Xenopus tropicalis: one gene and its partners. The protein of the gene in region 2 interacts with the protein of the main gene of each other region in a pairwise test. Links are inferred from orthologs where the notes say so. Each region holds a gene or a part of one and is shown on either strand. Other genes may lie near its edges.

Region 1 (6,724 bases), on a different chromosome or scaffold from region 2:
GTCTCTTCCAATTACCACCATCTTTTCTTACGTTTATTGCCCCCAGTCAATAGCAACTTAAAACAGTATATTCTACCAACTACATATGAGTAACATTTTATTATCTTGTTACCAAGAAAAAGTTATTGGCATAAATATTTTGGATGATACTCGTTGCCCCCTTCACAAGCAACACCAGTGATTTGATTTTTGATGTAAATTTCCCTTTAATGTCTTTGAAAAAAAGCTATTAATACATTGTATAGATATTGGGCTCCTTAGGGACTGTGGGCCGAACGTCGGACAAGTAAACAAAGTGAAACAAGAGGACGGGCACGGGGTTAGAGCGCAGTGTTGCTGTCTGTGTGCGCTGAGCGACAGCTGTGGGTCCGGGGACTCGCTGAAGGATTCATGCCTATATAAAAGGCCTATTGTTTAAACCCCACTCCTCGGCCCCGGCTGCATTACCAGGAACAGGCCATGCTATCAGCTGAGATGATATTCTGGTTTTCCCTTTAAACCAGCTGCTCTTCATAGCAAATGCTATAGATAAAAATATGGAGGTTTTGGGTTACCCATTGGGGTATTTAAAAACAACTTGCAATTTCTTTGGCGGGGGGGGTTAGTTTGGGCTGAGCCACTCTGCACACGTGCATTAACCCCTTATCTGCCTGTTGGGCTTAAAAATCTAAACATAAATATTTACCCAGCTCCCGTGGATCTCTGCTCAAATTCATTGAGGATGCGTTTGGGAACAAAATGTATATATAGCACACATTCCATTGCTTAAATTACAATTTCATATACAGGTATAGGACCCATTATCCAGAATGCTTGGGACCAAGGGTATTCCGGATAAGGAGTCTTTCCGTAATTTGGATCGCCATACCTTAAGTCTGCTAAAAAATCAATAAAACGTTAATTAAACCCAACAGGATTGTTCTGCCCCCAATAAGGGGTAATTATATCTTAGTTGGGATAAAGTACAGGTACTGTTTTATTATTACAGAGAAAAGGGAATCATTTAACCATTAAATAAACCCAATAGGGCTGTTCTGCCCCCAATAAGGGGTAATTATATCTTAGTTGGGATCAAGTACAGGTACTGTTTTATTATTACAGAGACAAGGGAATCATTTAACCATTAAATAAACCCAATAGGGCTGTTCTGCCCCAATAAGGGGTAATTATATCTTAGTTGGGATCAAGTACAGGTACTGTTTTATTATTACAGAGACAAGGGAATCATTTAACCATTAAATAAACCCAATAGGGCTGTTCTGCCCCAATAAGGGGTAATTATATCTTAGTTGGGATCAAGTACAGGTACTGTTTTATTATTACAGAGAAAAGGGAATCATTTAACCATGAAATAAACCCAATAGGGCTGTTCTGCCCCAATAAGGGGTAATTATATCTTAGTTGGGATCAAGTACAGGTACTGTTTTATTATTACAGAGAAAAGGGAATCATTTAACCATTAAGTAAACCCAATAGGGCTGTTCTGCCCCCAATAAGGGGTAATTATATCTTAGTTGGGATCAAGTACAGGTACTGTTTTATTATTACAGAGAAAAGGGAATAATTTAAACATTAAATAAACCCAATAGGGCTGTTCTGCCCCCAATAAGGGGTAATTATATCTTAGTTGGGATCAAGTACAGGTACTGTTTTATTATTACAGAGAAAAGGGAATCATTTAACCATTAAATAAACCCAATAGGACTGTTCTGCTTTTTGTTCATCGTCTTTCCAGTTTGGAACAGCTATCTGGTTGCTAGGGTCCAAATTACCCTAGCAACCAGGCAGTGGTTTGAATGATAAACTGGAATGTACATAGGAGAGGGCCTGGATAGAAAGATAAGTAATAAAAAGTAACAATAACAGTAAATGTAGCATCTAAGAGCAATAGTTTTTTTGGTTCAGTGACCCCCCCATTTGAAACCTGGAAGAGCAAATAATTCAGAAACTATAAAAAATAAATAATGAAGACCAATTGAAAAGTTGCCAAGAATTAGCCATTCTATAACATACTAAAAGTTAACTTTTGATGGCCCGCCCACCTAATATCCGGTTAAAATCCACGCACAGACCCTCTCCATTCATTTGGTGGATCTTATAGAGTTTGCCCACCTTTAAGGTCCCCATACACGCTGAGATCCGCTCGCTTGACGAGATCACGAAGCGAGCGGATCTGCACCCGATATCCCCACCTACGGGTGGCAAGGGGCAGTCGGTTTGGGGGCCGTATCAACGAGCCAATGCGGTCCCCGATCCGACTGAATTTTCTAACCTGGCCGATCGAGATCTGGCAGATAAGGGACCCATATTGGCAGCTACAATCTGCCCGTGTATGGGGACCTTTAGTCTGAAAGCATATGGGGCAATTTCCCATTGACTGTAATGTAATTGGCCAAGAGCCCCAGTACCAGCTCCAAATGTGCAGGGGCAGTTCAGTTGGAAATTCAGGGTAGAGCTTGATTTCTGTAGACCTATGTTTTTTTTACGTGAGCCCTACATTGTAGTAATAGCCCTTTAAAATAAAGTGTCAGAAACCGCAGCTTTCTCTGGATCCCCGAGCCATGTTTATTGGCAAGAAGAGCTGCATTTCCGATGTTGCAAAGGTCAGTGGCTCATGAGAGAAATTCCTCAGCGAAATGTGGATTAAAAAAATTCTCAGGCATTCTGTGTGTGTAGTGCAACTAAGGCAAATATTCCCAAGCCATAAGGAAAGTGTGAAATACATATATCTGTGCATATTACTTTTGGCCCATTCACCCCCAGTCGTCCTGATCTGAGCATTTTCCCACAAGCCAAGGGTCACATAACGTAGGGGCGGTGAGTGGGAAGGAGAGCTATTGGCTGCCTACAATGTCTATGAACCGACATGATCTTCTGAATGTATCCTGAATAGATGTTAATCAGAAGGTGTCTTGGTCCCCGACGCCAGTAGTGAGCCAACTTGGGCAAGAGATGCCTATGTTCATGTACAGTGACCAAAACATTAATGTGCAGTGTTTGTGGGTATTTTGAATTTGAATTTGTGGGCTGTCCAAATGGAGGCCCAAATGCTGCACACAGCCCTCATGTAGAATTTATAGCACCCAATCTGCCCATGAGTTCCACCAACTTATTTATAGGCCATCGCCATTTCTTACTACATCCCTCCAAAACCACCCAAATGCCTCAAGGTCCCCATACACGGGCCGATCCGCTCGCTTGGCACCAACCGAGCGGATCTTCTCCCGATATCCCCACCTACGGGTGGGCCCTGGGGCCAAACGATTGAATTATAACGACGGGAATAGGAAAAGTCGGTCTGGGGACCGCATCAACGAGCCGATGCAGTCCCCGATCCGACTAGATTTTCTAACCTGCCCAATCGACATCTGGCCGATTTCAGGCCAGATATCAGTCGGACAGGCCCGTTGGTAGTGCCCATACACGGGCCTTTTAGCTGCTCTAAGGGATAGATAACGGCAGCTAGAATCGGCCCATGTGTGGAGACCTTTAGCCCTAGTGAATCCTCTGTAGTCTAGACCAAAATGCTAACTGCTGATTGGTTGCTATGGGTTGCCTTACCAGTGCGACAACATAAAACCCCTGCTTCACCATTCATTGATTCCACTATGTCTTCTTTTCTGCAGAACATGTTGGCCAGAGCCCAATTTGACAACAAAGCCGACAGCCCAGATGAACTGACCTTCCGTAAAGGGGACATCCTAACCGTGTTAGATCAAAACATCCCTGGTAGCGAAGGTTGGTGGCGATGTTACCTTCATGGACGCCAGGGTCTCGTCCCCGCCAACCGCCTTCAGCTCTTTACTATAATAAAGAATGATACTCCATCTGTCCAGAGCTACTACGGCACCCTTGGAAGGCAACAGTCCCAACAGAACATCTACCAAGTGCCCTCAGCACCCAAAATCACAAGTCTGCCAACATATGAGCAGATGGATAGTGTTTATATAGTGCCACTGACTCCAAAATCGCTTTCCGGTGATCTATACCAGACTCCTGTTTCTTCACCAGCGCAAATATACTATGAGAAAGCCAACGGCTCCTCCAGCCAGGTGAGTAATAGTTCATTCTATTTTTTTTTATTTATAAACCTCCTAACGTTTCTACCAAAGCTCTAGGTGGGGGTTAAGTAATGAAGTAATGAGATTTTAGTCGTAGGAAAATATTAGTGGAGACCCATTAGTTCAGTAGTATTGAACTTATTCATGGGCAGTAGGACATCGCTGACTTCTCTCACTTTGCCCAAATGTAGGAAATTCCAGGTCAGTAACGTCAAAGTGAGATCAAATGGTTGGAGGTGTATCAGAATATATAAAATCTTCTCTAAATTAAAGATTAAACTAATTTTAAATTTTGACCATTTTTGCATCCTTTATGCTTTATACTGTTTGCCTGATATATAAGGGGTTGTTTAAGAACAGACCTTAGACTGTAAGCTCACTGGGGCAGGGATTGATGGGAATGTGATAGGGACCTTAGATTGTAAGCTTACTGGGGCAGGGACTGATGGGAATGTGATAGGGACCTTAGATTGTAAGCTCACTGGGGCAGGGACTGATGGGAATGTGATAGGGACCTTAGATTGTAAGCTCACTGGGGCAGGGACTGATGGGAATGGGATAGGGACCTTAGATTGTAAGCTCACTGGGGCAGGGACTGATGGGAATGTGATAGGGACCTTAGATTGTAAGCTCACTGGGGCAGGGACTGATGGGAATGTGATAGGGACCTTAGATTGTAAGCTCACTGGGGCAGGGACTGATGGGAATGTGATAGGGACCTTAGATTGTAAGCTCACTGGGGCAGGGACTGATGGGAATGTGATAGGGACCTTAGATTGTAAGCTCACTGGGGCAGGGGCTGATGGGAATGTGATAGGGACCTTAGATTGTAAGCTCACTGGGGCAGGGACTGATGGGAATGTGATAGGGACCTTAGATTGTAAGCTCACTGGGGCAGGGACTGATGGGAATGGGATAGGGACCTTAGACTGTAAGCTCCACTGGGGCAGGGACTGATGGGAATGTGATAGGGACCTTAGATTGTAAGCTCACTGGGGCAGTGTCTGATGGGAATGATGTATAATCTCAGTACAATGCTGGGGAATATGTTGGCACTATATAAATAAAGGATAATAATAAACATAATAATAAAATAACAGGAAGAACAAAATACGTTAACCTCACTTTAATCTTTAGAGCCCTAATTGGTTATTCTTGATATAATGCAGGAAGAGAAAACCAAACCACAGTAGCTTTAAAATATGTAATTTTACGAGCACAGGAAATCTTAATAACAGTAAAAAAAAGATTGTGTATGAATTCTGTGAGAAGACCAATGTGATAGAAATCTTGTATTATTGTTTGTATGAAGTAAAAAGCTGTTAGTGCAGAACACTGCTATGTATTAGAACCCCCCCCCCTCAATAAAATGGGTTAAAAGCAGGCAAAAGAATGTAGTGGTTCCGTGTATTTACAGATTCTGATAACAGGAATAAACAAAAAAGGAGTAGTTTCCCCCCCTACTGATCCCTCACTTTAAATCACTCTCCGGGACCCGCTGCTAAACAACTGTTTTGGCTCTTAACATGGTCAGCTGTTCCCGAGCAGCTGCTTACTGTCCGTACAGGAGCCAAAAAAAGGGACCAGACCCTCATCACCACTAATCAGGGTCCCCACACTCGCTGCTTCACCGGAGGAATCCACTCTCCTTGTCTGTCAGCAAAATATGGTATTAATAGCTGGGAGCCCCTCTGTGTGCTGGGCCTTTTATTAGAAAAGCGTCAGGTGAACACTGAAAGTAGAATAAATCCAGTAAAGGAACCCCACTTGGATTCAGCCAAATCAGAATCCTGCTGAAAAAGGCTGAATCACCCCAAATCTCCCCCTAACTGGCCTTCAGGCTGGGCCCCCTTAGCCCATAACAAGGTTACAGATATATAGAAACATTGGGGTAACAGTCACCCCGCTATAGTTCCAGGGGTACCCAGGGCACAAATAAGCACTCACCCCAAATCCCCCCCTAACTGGCCTTCAGGCTGGGCCCCCTTAGCCCATAACAAGGTTACAGATATATAGAAACATTGGGGTAACAGTCACCCCGCTATAGTTCCAGGGGTACCCAGGGCACAAATAAGCACTCACCCCAAATCCCCCCCTAACTGGCCTTCAGGCTGGGCCCCCTTAGCCCATAACAAGGTTACAGATATATAGAAACATTGGGGTAACAGTCACCCCACTATAGTTCCAGGGGTACCCAGGGCACAAATAAGCACTCACCCCAAATCCCCCCCTAACTGGCCTTCAGGCTGGGCCCCCTTAGCCCATAACAAGGTTACAGATATATAGAAACATTGGGGTAACAGTCACCCTGCTATAGTTCCAGGGGTACCCAGGGCACAAATAGGCACTCACCCCAAATCCCCCCTAACTGGCCTTCAGGCTGGGCCCCCTTAGCCCATAACAAGGTTACAGATATATAGAAACATTGGGGTAACAGTCACGCTGCTATAGTTCCAGGGTTACCCAGGGCACAAATAAGCACTCACCCCAAATCCCCCCCTAACTGGCCTTCAGGCTGGGCCCCCTTAGCCCATAACAAGGTTACAGATATATAGAAACATTGGGGTAACAGTCACCCTGCTATAGTTTCAGGGGTACCAGGGCACAAATAAGTACTCACCCCCTAACTGGCCTTCAGCCTTTCCATATTATTACTTATTATT
Region 2 (6,626 bases):
TGGCTCTGACATTTGAAAGAATGTAACACAAGGCTGCAGGCTGAGAGACCTGACTTGCTGGAGGAGCGACATTGTTTAAAAAGTAAAAACCAGGGGTTCAGCAAATGCTGCTTTCAGTACAATTATATTTACACATAACTTTTAAAGCACTAAAACTTTTCAGTTAATTCACATTGGAAAGTTGCTTGAAATTATGTTTTCTTTTATTATGCAGATATGTTCTTTAAATATGGCATTCTGTTAAGTCTTCAAGTCTCTCTAAAGCTGCCAATACACAGCCAAGAAAAGCTGCATACTCAGCCTCTCTAGACCAAGTCAGTGGGTTATCAGACTGCTGAGCAAATATATGTCAGGCAGGTTTAAAAATCCCATGGGGCAAGGACGGCATTGGAGCATTGATTGTCTTTTCCCATCCAGTCCCCACAGGCCCGCAGAATGATTAGATTGTGGGCCCCCAGGCCTGCAATCTAATCTGCTTAATTTGGCTTGAGCATGGGTGGATTTTTAAATATATGACCATCTTAGCGCTAGCAGATATTTATCAATTAAATGCTTGCTGTCGGTGCCACTAGTGTAACTAGTGTATGTAATGTTTTAGGCTACCGCCACATGTGGAGTATTCTCGGGTTGTAGATAACCGCAGGTTCGAGAATCCATTCCTATAATCATCAACGGGAACAGGGGTGGATTCAGCCACGTGTGGCAGTAGCCTTAGTCTTCCATTCAGTTCATCCAGACATTAATAGAAGTGTCAGAAGTGAGATGCTATTGCCTAGGAGCACACCTATACTTGTCAGGCAGCTGATAATACACTATGTAGTTATTTGTTCAACAGTGCAGTTTGCCCTTTCTCTAAATAAGCGTGTTGTAACAATAAACACCAGCTTTCCTGTTACAGCATGTACTTTTACATGACTGCCCTTTGTAAATTTTCTTTTTGTAAAAGTGGCCCTTTGCTGCTCTACTATGCAGGACTGGACATATCCTGGGTACTAGACAGTCACAGGAATGTTGCTCCTGGCTCCTTTCCAGGAGAATTTATAAGGGTCTCTACAAAGCACCTGCCCTCTGGTTTCTAAAGCAGCCACACTTGCCCTTAAATTTCTTTGTCATACCACTAATATTTGGGAAACAATTGGCTAGATTTCAATCAACCATGTTTAAAAATCCAGTTGGGACGAGGAGAGCATTGGTTTGTTAATGTGGTCCATGCCCCAGTGGCTTGCATCCAATTAATTTGATCCAATCATTTGGCCTGTGCTGGGCATATCAGGGAAATATCCGCTCATTTAACGACCTTGCCAAATAAGCAGATCTTTCAGTGTATGATTGTCTTTAGTTGGGTACCTGCTCAATGTCAAGCCTGCATGTCCCTAATGATAAATAGAAGCCAGAAGCCACAATGTAAAAGTCGTCACCAACATACTGTTACAGCAGGGATGTCCAACTGGAGGTATTATGGACCTGATAAAGCCCTCCAAAAGCTTTTATGGCTCTATGTCTGAGATCTCCATAGACCTCTGTATATTAATCTGCCCCCCAGAATTAAGTAGTGAGTAAGTAGACTATCTTGGCTAGATCAGTTACATTGTCCCCTGCTTCCTAACCAGAGGAAGGCATCATTAACTTAGCACTTAGCTTGTAACTGTCAACATACTGGATTTTATGTGTTTCACATATGGCCCCTTGAGTATTTAAAAGGGCTGCATACATAATTTGCTAATAGCACAATATAATGCCTTTCAATTACAGAGTTGCACCTTTATACATTGCACACATTTTTGAAAATGTTGCACAATGTGTAGAGTGCAGCATTGTGAGTTATTTTAGTAATTACCTAAGGAGACATCATTGTATTGAATTTAATTGAATGCAGCAATGTGAATTATTTAAGCTGTATGCCTGTATACAAACATTAATTGGCCCTCCATAAAAATATCTGAAGGGAGAAGATATAGACTTCCTGGTGGGGCTCCCTAGTAGAAGGGCTGCACCTCCGTGAAAAGAGACCTAGGTCCATTCTGGCAGATGCTTTATAAACTTTTAAATCTATGCTTTTTTAATGAACGTATGCTGTCCATACATGGCAAGATCTGCTAGTGTGGCAGGATTCATACAGAACCTTCATTGCAGCTGACATTCCAAGAATTTCAAAGGATCTAATCTGACAGGCCACTGACCCCACCTTTAGAGAAGCTTCTTTAGATACTGAGGAATTTAAGGTCAAATGGTGAAAACCCTACAAGTGCATTTTTTTGCCTGTGGTTATATAAACTGTTTAAAACATGTCTTTTATATTGCCATTATTTTTCCTGTCAGTAAAGCTGACCAACGATGAGATCTTGTCAAGTATGGCCATCTTTACCCATACAAGCTAATAAATGCACAAAGCAGTCTTTCTCCCCAATAAACTACCAGCTTATTCAATTGTGTTAAAATATGAACATATAAATTTAATGTATGAATGGAATCCCGTTAGTGTGTAAAAGGACAATTGAGCCCATACCTGCCTGACATGTGGATTATCCCAAAACAACATGCCTTTTTCACCTCCTCCCACCCAGCACCTGTTCCAGTACTAGCTCTTCCTATGTGCACAAGTATCTTTACTAAGTCAAAAGTTTATGGCCAGGGAGTGTCCTACACCAATAGGATTGTGTAAGGTTGTTGTGTAATAAGTTTGCTACAGGTTTAGTAACATGTAGTTACCAATCAGCAGAAAGCATTTACTGATCACCTGTTTAAAAAGTAAAATCTTATTGGTTGCTATAAGTTACTGCACTTGGGCAAATGTTGTGCCCTTTATTACATATGGGGGATAGAGTGAAAGCCTCCTGGACCACAACATGGGAGAAGTTAATAAATGCCTTCTCCCCAATCTCATTGCCCTATATGTTTTCTTCCTGCTCTTCCCCTGTTTGTGTGACTTCCGTACCTACTTACATAAGTGCATCACCTACATAGTGCGCATAGTGACCCAGCCACATACATATGTCTCACTGCACTGCCGCCTTCATGACGTCACTCTCCATACTTTCCCTGGCTTTGTTTAGTGTATGTTTTCACATTAAGAAAGACAAGATTGGTAGCTGAAACATTAGTTTATCTTTAAATAAAAACATCTTTTTCCTCTCATAAAACATATATAGATACATACACACACACTATTTTTTTTTATATGCAACATAGGCGGCATATATTTCTCTCACTAATTGTCTTCTGTATTTATTTTATTTTTTAGATTTGCTCTATGAGCCACTGCCTTTAATCCAAGCAAGTAAACACCTGCAACGCATAATATTAGTACTACATAAAGGCATCCTGCTTGTAGATTTCCACAGATGCAATGTGATATAAGTTCTAATAGGAATTTCATGAGTCTCGAGAGCAAAGAGATTGGAAAGATGTCAGCTAAGGCCCCGATATACCTAAAGAGAAGTACCCGTAAAGGAAAGCTGAGAGACATTCTGTCACCGGACATGATTAGCCCGCCACTTGGAGATTTCCGGCACACTATTCACATTGGCAGTGGGGAAGGGGATATGTTTGGAGACATTTCCTTCTTACAAGGGAAGTTTCACCTTCTTCCTCAGTCAATGCCTGGATCCTCAACTTCTTCTCCAGATGCAACACCAACCACCTCCCATCCGGATCTTCTCAATCCACCACCCTGCCACCCAGATCTTCTCTCACCTCTGCTGAAGAATGCTATTTCACTACCTGCTATTGGGGGACCACAGGCTCTATCTCTTCCCCAGTCTCCACCACCAAAACCCCCGCGGCTTCACCTAGATGATAAACCCAAGAGCACATTGAGTGAAGAAGGGGGGACTCATTCAACAGATGTGTCTGCAAACAATCGTTTCACTGCAGAAGAGAGGGAAGAACGCATTCTCGCCCATGCTGGATCTATTTTGTCTCTTCATGTTGATTTAGGACCATCGATTATGGATGATGTCTTGCAGATCATGGACAAGAGCTAAAGGCCTGCACTGGTGTAGCGTCGGACTGATCAGTATTAAACAATGGGGCTTAATTTTTTTTAAACAGAGAAATATTTTTAAACACTAAATAATTTTAAGACTGGAATAATAAGCTGCGTAATGTGCTTTATTAAGTTGAAAACCAATTCTATTTAGCAGTCAAATTAGCACATTGCTTTGTACAATGCTCGGAATGTTTTTTTTTTTTATTATGTAAGTGAATTTGTCGTGCTGAAGTGCAATGGTGGTGGCTGTGCTTACACTCCACGGGACACTTATTTTAATTTACAGTGGCCACAGCCTATATATACAGTGGTAATGAATATCTTCATTGGGACATTTTTATTGAAGTAATAACCCCCTCTCTAAATGCTATTATATATTACACCCGTCGCCTTAAGTCGGAATGAACTGAATGTAGCATTTATTTGAATTTTTTTGTGACCAAAATGTGTATATCTTGCCAAATACAGACAGAGGGCTTTGACAGTGTTTGGGGCTTTATTTCAATCTGTTTCAACACAAAATTAGGCCAAATGAAGAAACCCAGGGGCAAAAGATTAAACTGGGGAGTCTAGAAGCTGATAAAAAAGTCAGATTGTTCATTGTAAAAGTAACAGTAATGTTTTTGCTGGCTGTAAGTATATATGAATAGTAATTAGTAATAATAAATTGGCCAAGCTGTGAGATTTTTTACATTGGCTTATGATAAGGCACAACACACTGGTAAAATTTTGTATTTGCAAACAATACTATAAATAGTATAACATTGCCGTGAAGCCATAGGGACCACCAATCAAGATGAAATGGGGCTATATGGACCCCCACATACCCCCCTTTTACATTCACTTTCATGATGTAGACAGTGATATTCTAAGACCATTTACAACTGGTCAATTTGTAATTTTGACAGATCTCGAATGAAAGAGAACAGGACAGGCAGAAAGAGAAGTAAAAAAAATAACAATAAAATAGTAGCCACACAGAGGAATAGCTTTCTGAGGTTCAGTGACTGGAAAAAGAGAGAAGGCAAATAATTTATACTTGTTTGTAAGGTGTAATCGTTGGTGGGGCTAAGTTTTAGGCACCCCCAGTGGTTATAATCTTATACCTGATACCCCAGGCCAGTATACTGTTCACTTACAACTGCACTAGCGGGGGTAGCTAAGCTCAGCTTTCCACTCTACTCTGTGTGTTCTACTCGGACCAGTACAAAGAAGGAAGTAGCCAAAGAAGATGGCAAAGATTTCAGCGAACAGAAGCAATGGCCCATGGAGGAGGGGGGGTGCCTAACATTTTGGCACTGATTAAGGGTATTGGGGGAAAAAAGATATTGATGTGACCTGGTGTGCTGGTCCTTCTCATAGGTATATATATATTTATTCTTATTTTTGGGCACATTTCATGGTGTTTTCAAGCAGTGCAGCAATCCCAGTCTGTGCCTACCCCCTTCCAAAACACTTGTCTCCAACAATTCTGTCAAAGAGAGCTGTTCATTTGAACCCTGGGAAATTGTATAGCCCATTACACGAAAAAAGCAGAGACACAAATCTCTTATTGGAAGTTCCCATCAGATATCTCACACTTTGTAAAAACAAATATTTCTTCAACAAGTATTGTTAGAGGGGGGATGGGGTTAACAGGATATTATTTCCAGATACAAAATAATTTAGCATGTATAAAAGTCATTACATAATCTTTAAGTTAAAGGGCAAGTAGCCAGTATCTTACATTTTAACTCCAGTTTCCCCATGTGTCAGACAGCGTTTGCCTCCATGCTTTAGTTCTGACCAGTCATTTGATAACCCGGATACATTACTAGCTCTCAGACCTGTGCTTGGAGATGCCTAAAGGTGCACATACACGGGCAGATTTCAGCTGCTGATTTGGGTCCTACCGCACCGATATCTGGCCTAAAATTGGGCAGATCTCGATCAGGCAGGTTTGATTTTCACCTCAAATCAGGTGCCACATCAGCTTGTTGATGAAGTCCTCGATCTGACGGCCCACATATCTTCCGTTTTAATTTGATTGTTTTGGCCTAAGGCCAAACGATCGAATTAGCCCAATATTGCTCACCTTAGGTGGGCATATTCGGTGAAGATTCACTTGTTTGGCAACCTCTCCTAATGTTTATAGCCACCTTAAGGACCAGGAGCACATGGGCTGATTTGATAGCTGCTACTAGTAGCGCCCTCTACTTGCTATGGGCAGCTTCACATTAATAGCAGCAGGCACGGACCAGAGCTTATTCCCTGAAAATGCCCAGTTGCAATAATCTCAAGGTGACTTGCGCCATTCCTGTTTATGTCAAGGGGAAGCAACACATGCCACAAGTTTTTCAGCCTTTCACAAGGACAATCACCCCATGTGTTTTTACCCTAGTAGGGTTTAGTATATACCGACCTACTTGCCTGTTTAGCAGTTAGGATCTGGCCCAGACTGGCAATCTGTGGGTTCTGGCAACTGCCAGAGGGGCTGCTGTAAGATGCAATAGACAGTCACTATTTATTGGGCCTGTGGGGGTTGTTTGGGCCTCTGTGTACTTGAAATGCCAGAGGGGCTGCTGTAAGATGCCATAGACAGTCACTATTTATTGGGCCTGTGGGGGCTGTTTGGGCCTCTGTGTACTTGAAATGCCAG
Region 3 (6,092 bases), on a different chromosome or scaffold from region 2:
ATATTTTTTAAAAAGTGTTAGATGCCTTTGATAGTCTTAACGACATTTTGAAAAATACTTCAACGTTTCAGCTCCCCAGGGGAGCCTCTGTCAAGAACACTAAGTTACAGAGTGAACAAAAGCACATATTAATAGGCACGGCTACCAAGATGGAGCCAAATATGCAAATAACCACAATCAGTGATGTCATTCTTACATCAGAATAGAATTAAATATTTTTAAACTCAAAGCACAAAAAAATGAAAGCCAGAGATAGCAACCTGCAAAACTGCTTAATATTCATTTGATTTCCCTTCCTGGAAACAGATATGTTGAAAGCAGATTTGCTAATAAACTCTGCTAACGCGTTTTAAGAAAAGTCTAGGTAAAAGCCAGACTTTAAAGTATAAGAAAACCCTACAGCATTTTTTGTGTAATGATGGAGAATACTGCACAGGGCTGCTGTACAAATGCTTACATACTGCAGCTCTATGTATGCTATGTACAGTGCAGCTCTTTGTACAGTGCCCCCCCATAATGCTTAGGACAAAGACACATTTTTCTTTGATTTTCCACTCTGCCTCCTCAGTGTAAAATTTTAAATCAAACAATTCAGACACGATCAAAGTGCACATTCAAGATTTTAATTTAAAGTTATTTGCATACATTTCAGTTTCACATGTAGAAATTACAATACTTGTTATACATAGCCCCCCCTCATTTTAGGGCACCAAAATGTGTGGGACAAAGTAATGGTAGGTATAGTAAAGCAGTGATATTTAGTACTTGCAAATCCCTTACATGCAATGACTGCTGCGATTCATAGACATCACCAGGGGCTGAGCCTCTACTGTAGCCACCTTTAACTCCTGCTTGTGCTGGTCCATTTCCTCTTCACCATATGAAAGGCATGGTCAATTGGATTGATCAGGTGACTGGCTTGACCATTCAAGTATTTTCCAGTTTTCATTTTTGAGAAACTCCCATGTTGCCTAAGCAGTATGTTTGGGATCATTATATCGTAAAGGTCCCCATACACGGCTAGTAGCAGCTATCGGGAGAAGATCATCGCCAAGCGAGCGGATCTGCCAGTGTATGGGGACCTTAAGATGAAGCACCGTCCAATAAATTTGGAGGCATTTACTGGAACTCTTGAGCAGATAACATGTTTCTATACAGCTCAGAATTCATTATGCAACGGCCATCAGCAGTTACATCATCAATGAAGATAAGTTTGCCGGCACCTGTTGCAGCCATACATGCTCAATCCTTAACCCCACCACCATCATGTAAAACAGATAAGATGGTATGCTTTGGATCTTGGGCAGTTCCTTTTTCATCTCCACACGTTCCTCTTGCCATTACTCTGATACAGGTTAATCTTGCTCTCCGCTGTCCATAACACCTTTTTCCAGGACTCTGCAGGCTCTTTCAAGTACCTTTTTGCGAACTGTAATCTGGGCAATTTTGTGGCTAGTTAGTGCTTTGCATCTTGCAGTTTAGCCTCTGTATTTCTGTTCATGACATCTTCGGCAGATAGTAGTCTCTGCCAAAGAGACACCTGCAGAGTGTTTCTAAACTGTTGGACAGGCGTTTGAGGATTTCTCTTTACCATAGTGAGGATTCTCAAATTATCAGAAGATTACAGAGCTCACCCATTCATTCTTTCTTCTTAACGATATTCCAGACAGTTGATTTTGGTAATCCTGATCTCTAATGGATTTATTCTTGTTTTTCAGCCTCATAATAGCTTCCTTGACTTTCCTGGCACAGCTTTTCACCTTATGTTGTTCAATGGAAACTATAGACTCCAAATGGTAGAAACAAGCCTAGGTGTCCTATCCCTGCACTAATGAAGCAATGCAACCCACCTGAGTGAAGCCAATTGTCCCAAATATTATGGTGCCCTGAAAAGAGGGGGAGTATGTATAAAAAGTGTTGGAATTTCTGCATGGTGAAACTGAAATGTATGCAAATAACTTTCAATTAAATTCTGGAATGTGCACTAACCACATCTAAATTGTTTGACTGAAAAATTTACACTGAGGAGGGGTAAATGAACGAAAAATGTATCTTTTGTCTCCAAATATGGAGGCACTGTAACTCTATTGATCAAATCATCATCTCATGTCTACTTCCTCCAATCTGTCAGTTTGTTGTGCAATACAATACTAGTTGCCCCACTATGCATGCACAGGACTTACAGTGCCAGAAGGAGGGCTGGCTTAAAAAAACGGCATGCCGGAGGTAAAGGAAAATATTTTGTGGCTTCATAAGTCTGCTGGACCACAGAGACCTTATCCGCACACCCTAACACTCCAAAAAATTCTTTTGTGCACACTGCTAGAGGGATCGGCACCCTCCAAATACACTGTAGCAACAAAAAAAGCAAATGGCACTCAGGACTACAAACAAGGGTAAAACCCTTTTAAAAGTTTTATTGCGGAGGTGCAACGTTTCGGGGCAATGTGACCCCTTTATCAAGCATGCTTTGTTGATAAAGGGGTCACATTGCCCCGAAACGTTGCACCTCCGCAATAAAACTTTTAAAAGGGTTTTACCCTTGTTTGTAGTCCTGAGTGCCATTTGCTTTTTTTGTTGCTTCATAAGTCTGCTGTACATGGGTGTTCAGGTGACACTGGATTCATAAGGCAAAAAAAGAAATAATAAGAAATTAACTATCCTTAATATAAAATTTGGATATTTAACTGGCAACTACATGCCCAACATAACCATATTGGCATTTTAGTGAGTCTGTAAATGTAATTACAATTGTCCCCTCTTTACAGATGCATTGACAAAGAATGAGAGAGAGAGAGAGAGAGAGAGACAGACAATAGAGAAAGTCCAATAGAGAGAAAACCTCTCTAAGAGAAACTGCAACACACTGTGCTTCCGGGCCATACTTGAAATAAATTGTTAAACTGCACCACAAAGAAATTTAAAAAGAAAGGCTAAGGTTTTTGAATTTTCTGAAGACACTATTAGTCACCTAAAACTTACCACTTTTCCTCCAGACTTCTGGTCAAATGGTACCATGGTCATTTGTTTGGTTTCCCGCTGGTAAGTGCAGTAATGTTTGACCCAAGACGTCCCAAAATGCCCTGTAATGAAAAGATCATACAATCATAAAATTTAGAGGAAGGCATCTTGCTATATAGGCTTGTTCAATAAATGCACTGGTACTCTATAGTTTACACAGTTGAAAGGCATTCGACTAAGCCTAGAGCCTTTTGAAAATATAATGAATAAAGGAACTGAAATCCACACACCAGCATATAACTGCGGCAAAGCTGGTAATCATACTTAGGACTGAAAAATTCTACAGTACAGGGAGTGCTGGGTCTTGTAAATACCCAAGTATGAAGTTTAGCATTTAGAATCATCCATGAAACAAGTATGTTCCTCATAATTACCGGCATTTTATTGGCATAGGCTTTTATGAGGGCCGGACAATAGGTGTGCAATTAAAGTCAGTTAGCAGCTTATGTGAAGCCATCCCTTTTGTTCTTCTCTGGCCCTAAACTAAAAACATCCATACATTCAACTCAGCACACTTGCAGACTAAAAAGCATTGGAACTCAGGGTGTAGAGTGGTCCTACGAAAGAGAATGTCAGTATTCAAGTAAATAGATGCCAATAAGTGACCTCTTGCTAAGTAAAGCTGCAAAGTTTTTCCCAGAACACCAATAAAGTGCTCTCTGTCCGCAGATACTCTGGCCAGTTCTGTCACAGAATGAAATCCTTGGATTTCCAAAGGTAGGTTACAGTTACATTGTATGACATGATGCATCAGCACTAACTTTTTCCTGTAGTAATGAATAGACGCTGCTGCAGTTGCTATGGGACCTGATGAGCTACTAAGTAAGGTGAGGTTGTCAATCAAAGCCTTACAAGACACAAAGAGCTTACTGGGACTCTCAAGTGGCCCAAAAGGGCAACCAAGTTCTTGGAGGAGTGAGTATCCTAGATGTCAAGAACTAGAAAGTCTTGCTAGTGAAGAGGAACTGGCATATTATATAATGAATAATAATAATAATAAGCATGGAAATGCTCTAGAAACACATTTAAATAAAGACAAAAACTGGTGTTTTTAGTTTTCCCCCCAAGTACCCACTTTTCTCCTGAACATAGAGGTATCCTTCCATAGTGTATGGGCTGAGTGCTAAGTGCTCATGGGGGTTCTCCTTCATCTTCTTCATCAATGACTCCACCTCAGAGCGTGTGCCTTCAAAACGGTCCCGTGTCTGACAAATCAGAAGCAGCCATGGTTAGATATGCAGGACATCTTTTCATTCAGTAGTTTTAAATTTGCATTATAGCGAATCATTGGGGATCAAAAACTATCATTTAGAGAGCGGTATCAAGTGTTGTACATGTTTCATGATGTGTAGTGTTTTTGACAAAAAGTAGTAAGCAAGGCACTCTTGTGGGAATATTAAAGAGGAAATTTCTTCTTACAGGGGTAGTTCACCAGAGAATAAACTTTTAGTGTGATATAGACAATGGGATTCTAAGACAATTTGGAGTTCGTATTATGTATTCTATACTGTTGTTGGGCCACAATCACCCTAGCAACTCGGAAGTGGTTTGAATGGCAGACAGGAAGGTGAGTAGGAAAGAGCCTGAACACAAAGATAAGTAATGAAAAACTATAATGATGCAGATCTAACCTAATAAAAATCTGATCACTGGATTTCAGGCATAAACGTTCTGAGCAAAAAATAGAAGGAAGAAGAATAGAAAGGCAAGCAAAATAAAATCTATTGAGATTAAAAATAGAAGACCAAACTGCAATTATTGCTTTCTGCAGCATAATGTAAATTCTAAGATGGAATACTATTTTAACATTACATTCTACTATGTTGTGGAGGGTAATCATTAATTTTTACATTTTGATTCTCTCAATGTCAGTTTAGTTATTAGAAGCAGAAGTATACAACTATGAATTATATTAAAAAACATACTACTGCATATTAAAAGAATATCAGAACTTGCATCAGAGCTCTGGGACTTTTAAATGGTTTAACAAGTTGTATATTATCCTTATAGTGCATGGCAGAGGTACACTATTCCCTATACACAATCACAACGCCACACATACCCACTACTCCCAATTCTCTTCCAGTTACTAAATTCTTGCCTAAATTTGATGAATACCTATGAAACCATAAATCTTTAGGCTGGGAGGAAAGTTGTTTACTAAGGATAATAAAGGGGAGGACGAACGTTACTTACATTCTGAATGCTGATGGAAAGCTGCGTTTTAAAGTCACTGAAGTCTTTGGCCAGTTCATAGCCATGGTGATAGAAGGTGAAGAGGCCTTGCAAGAAGGCAAGCAGCTGAAACACCAAAGGATAATTAGAAGACAAGCACAAAGATAAAATCCACTGTCTGAAACTGATTTCCCCTTATAAATTACTGTAGGTAAGACCAGTTTATGAAGGGGGGTTGCTTCAGGTTTGCATTTGTACATTAACAATATACAAATTAATCTCTGGCCAATGGAAGTTTTAATAATTAACTGAAAATAATAGAGAGACCTAGATCACAGAGCTGAACAAAACTACAAGCCTTCTGGCACCCAAAAATTCTTATTTGCCAACTCTTAGAGCCAAGAGTTCACATTTAGGGCAAGGCACACAGGCCGATGGTTATAAAACCAGAGCTACAGTAGGCCATAAAAGTAGAGATGCGGCCAAGTTCCTTTACCAAGAGGCAGGAATTTGCACTTGAAAAATGGTGTCTATACATGGTAAAACAAAATGTGAAAACTTGCTGGCAGCATCTCTATGTGGAGACTGATGGCAATATTTATAGTTGCATTTATCAACAAAATAGCTTGAAAATTTTAATTGCAACAAATACAGTTTTTCCCAACTGACCAAACTAACAGAATACTCGGCATATTTTGAAGTTAGAAGAAATAAAAGTAAATTATGCAAAGTTGATAGAATCTAAAGGAACAGCCGGCACTGAACCGTGTTAGCTCATCGGTTTGCCTGCAGAGTGACTATTATATGCATTAAGATTTCATTAGATCGCCCTTTCCAAGTTATTTGCACTTAGCAATAGGCTAAGCTATGAATATTTCATGTTTATGGGAAAAACA

Evidence for each region.
Region 1: the proteins of cdc42ep2 (region 2) and cass4 interact in binary tests that used the Homo sapiens proteins (3 or more experiments, as listed by UniProt). The link is inferred for Xenopus tropicalis from reciprocal best matches to the Homo sapiens genes CDC42EP2 and CASS4.
Region 3: the proteins of cdc42ep2 (region 2) and arhgap26 interact in binary tests that used the Homo sapiens proteins (3 or more experiments, as listed by UniProt). The two-hybrid records come from large-scale screens. The link is inferred for Xenopus tropicalis from reciprocal best matches to the Homo sapiens genes CDC42EP2 and ARHGAP26.

The regions. Positions count from the first base shown.
Region 1 is NC_030686.2:6,036,478-6,043,201, reverse strand, and holds the start of cass4 (cas scaffolding protein family member 4), read left to right. Parts: upstream 1-2,347; 5' UTR 2,348-2,561; coding exon 2,562-2,603; intron 2,604-3,626; coding exon 3,627-4,052; intron 4,053-6,724. UniProt on the Homo sapiens protein: Docking protein that plays a role in tyrosine kinase-based signaling related to cell adhesion and cell spreading. Regulates PTK2/FAK1 activity, focal adhesion integrity, and cell spreading.
Region 2 is NC_030680.2:31,702,578-31,709,203, forward strand, and holds the end of cdc42ep2 (cdc42 effector protein 2), read left to right. Parts: intron 1-3,241; 5' UTR 3,242-3,341; coding exon 3,342-3,983; 3' UTR 3,984-4,475; downstream 4,476-6,626. UniProt on the Homo sapiens protein: Probably involved in the organization of the actin cytoskeleton. May act downstream of CDC42 to induce actin filament assembly leading to cell shape changes. Induces pseudopodia formation in fibroblasts in a CDC42-dependent manner.
Region 3 is NC_030679.2:38,202,532-38,208,623, reverse strand, and holds part of arhgap26 (rho GTPase-activating protein 26), read right to left. Parts: intron 5,323-6,092; coding exon 5,218-5,322; intron 4,227-5,217; coding exon 4,097-4,226; intron 3,084-4,096; coding exon 2,983-3,083; intron 1-2,982. UniProt on the Homo sapiens protein: GTPase-activating protein for RHOA and CDC42. Facilitates mitochondrial quality control by promoting Parkin-mediated recruitment of autophagosomes to damaged mitochondria.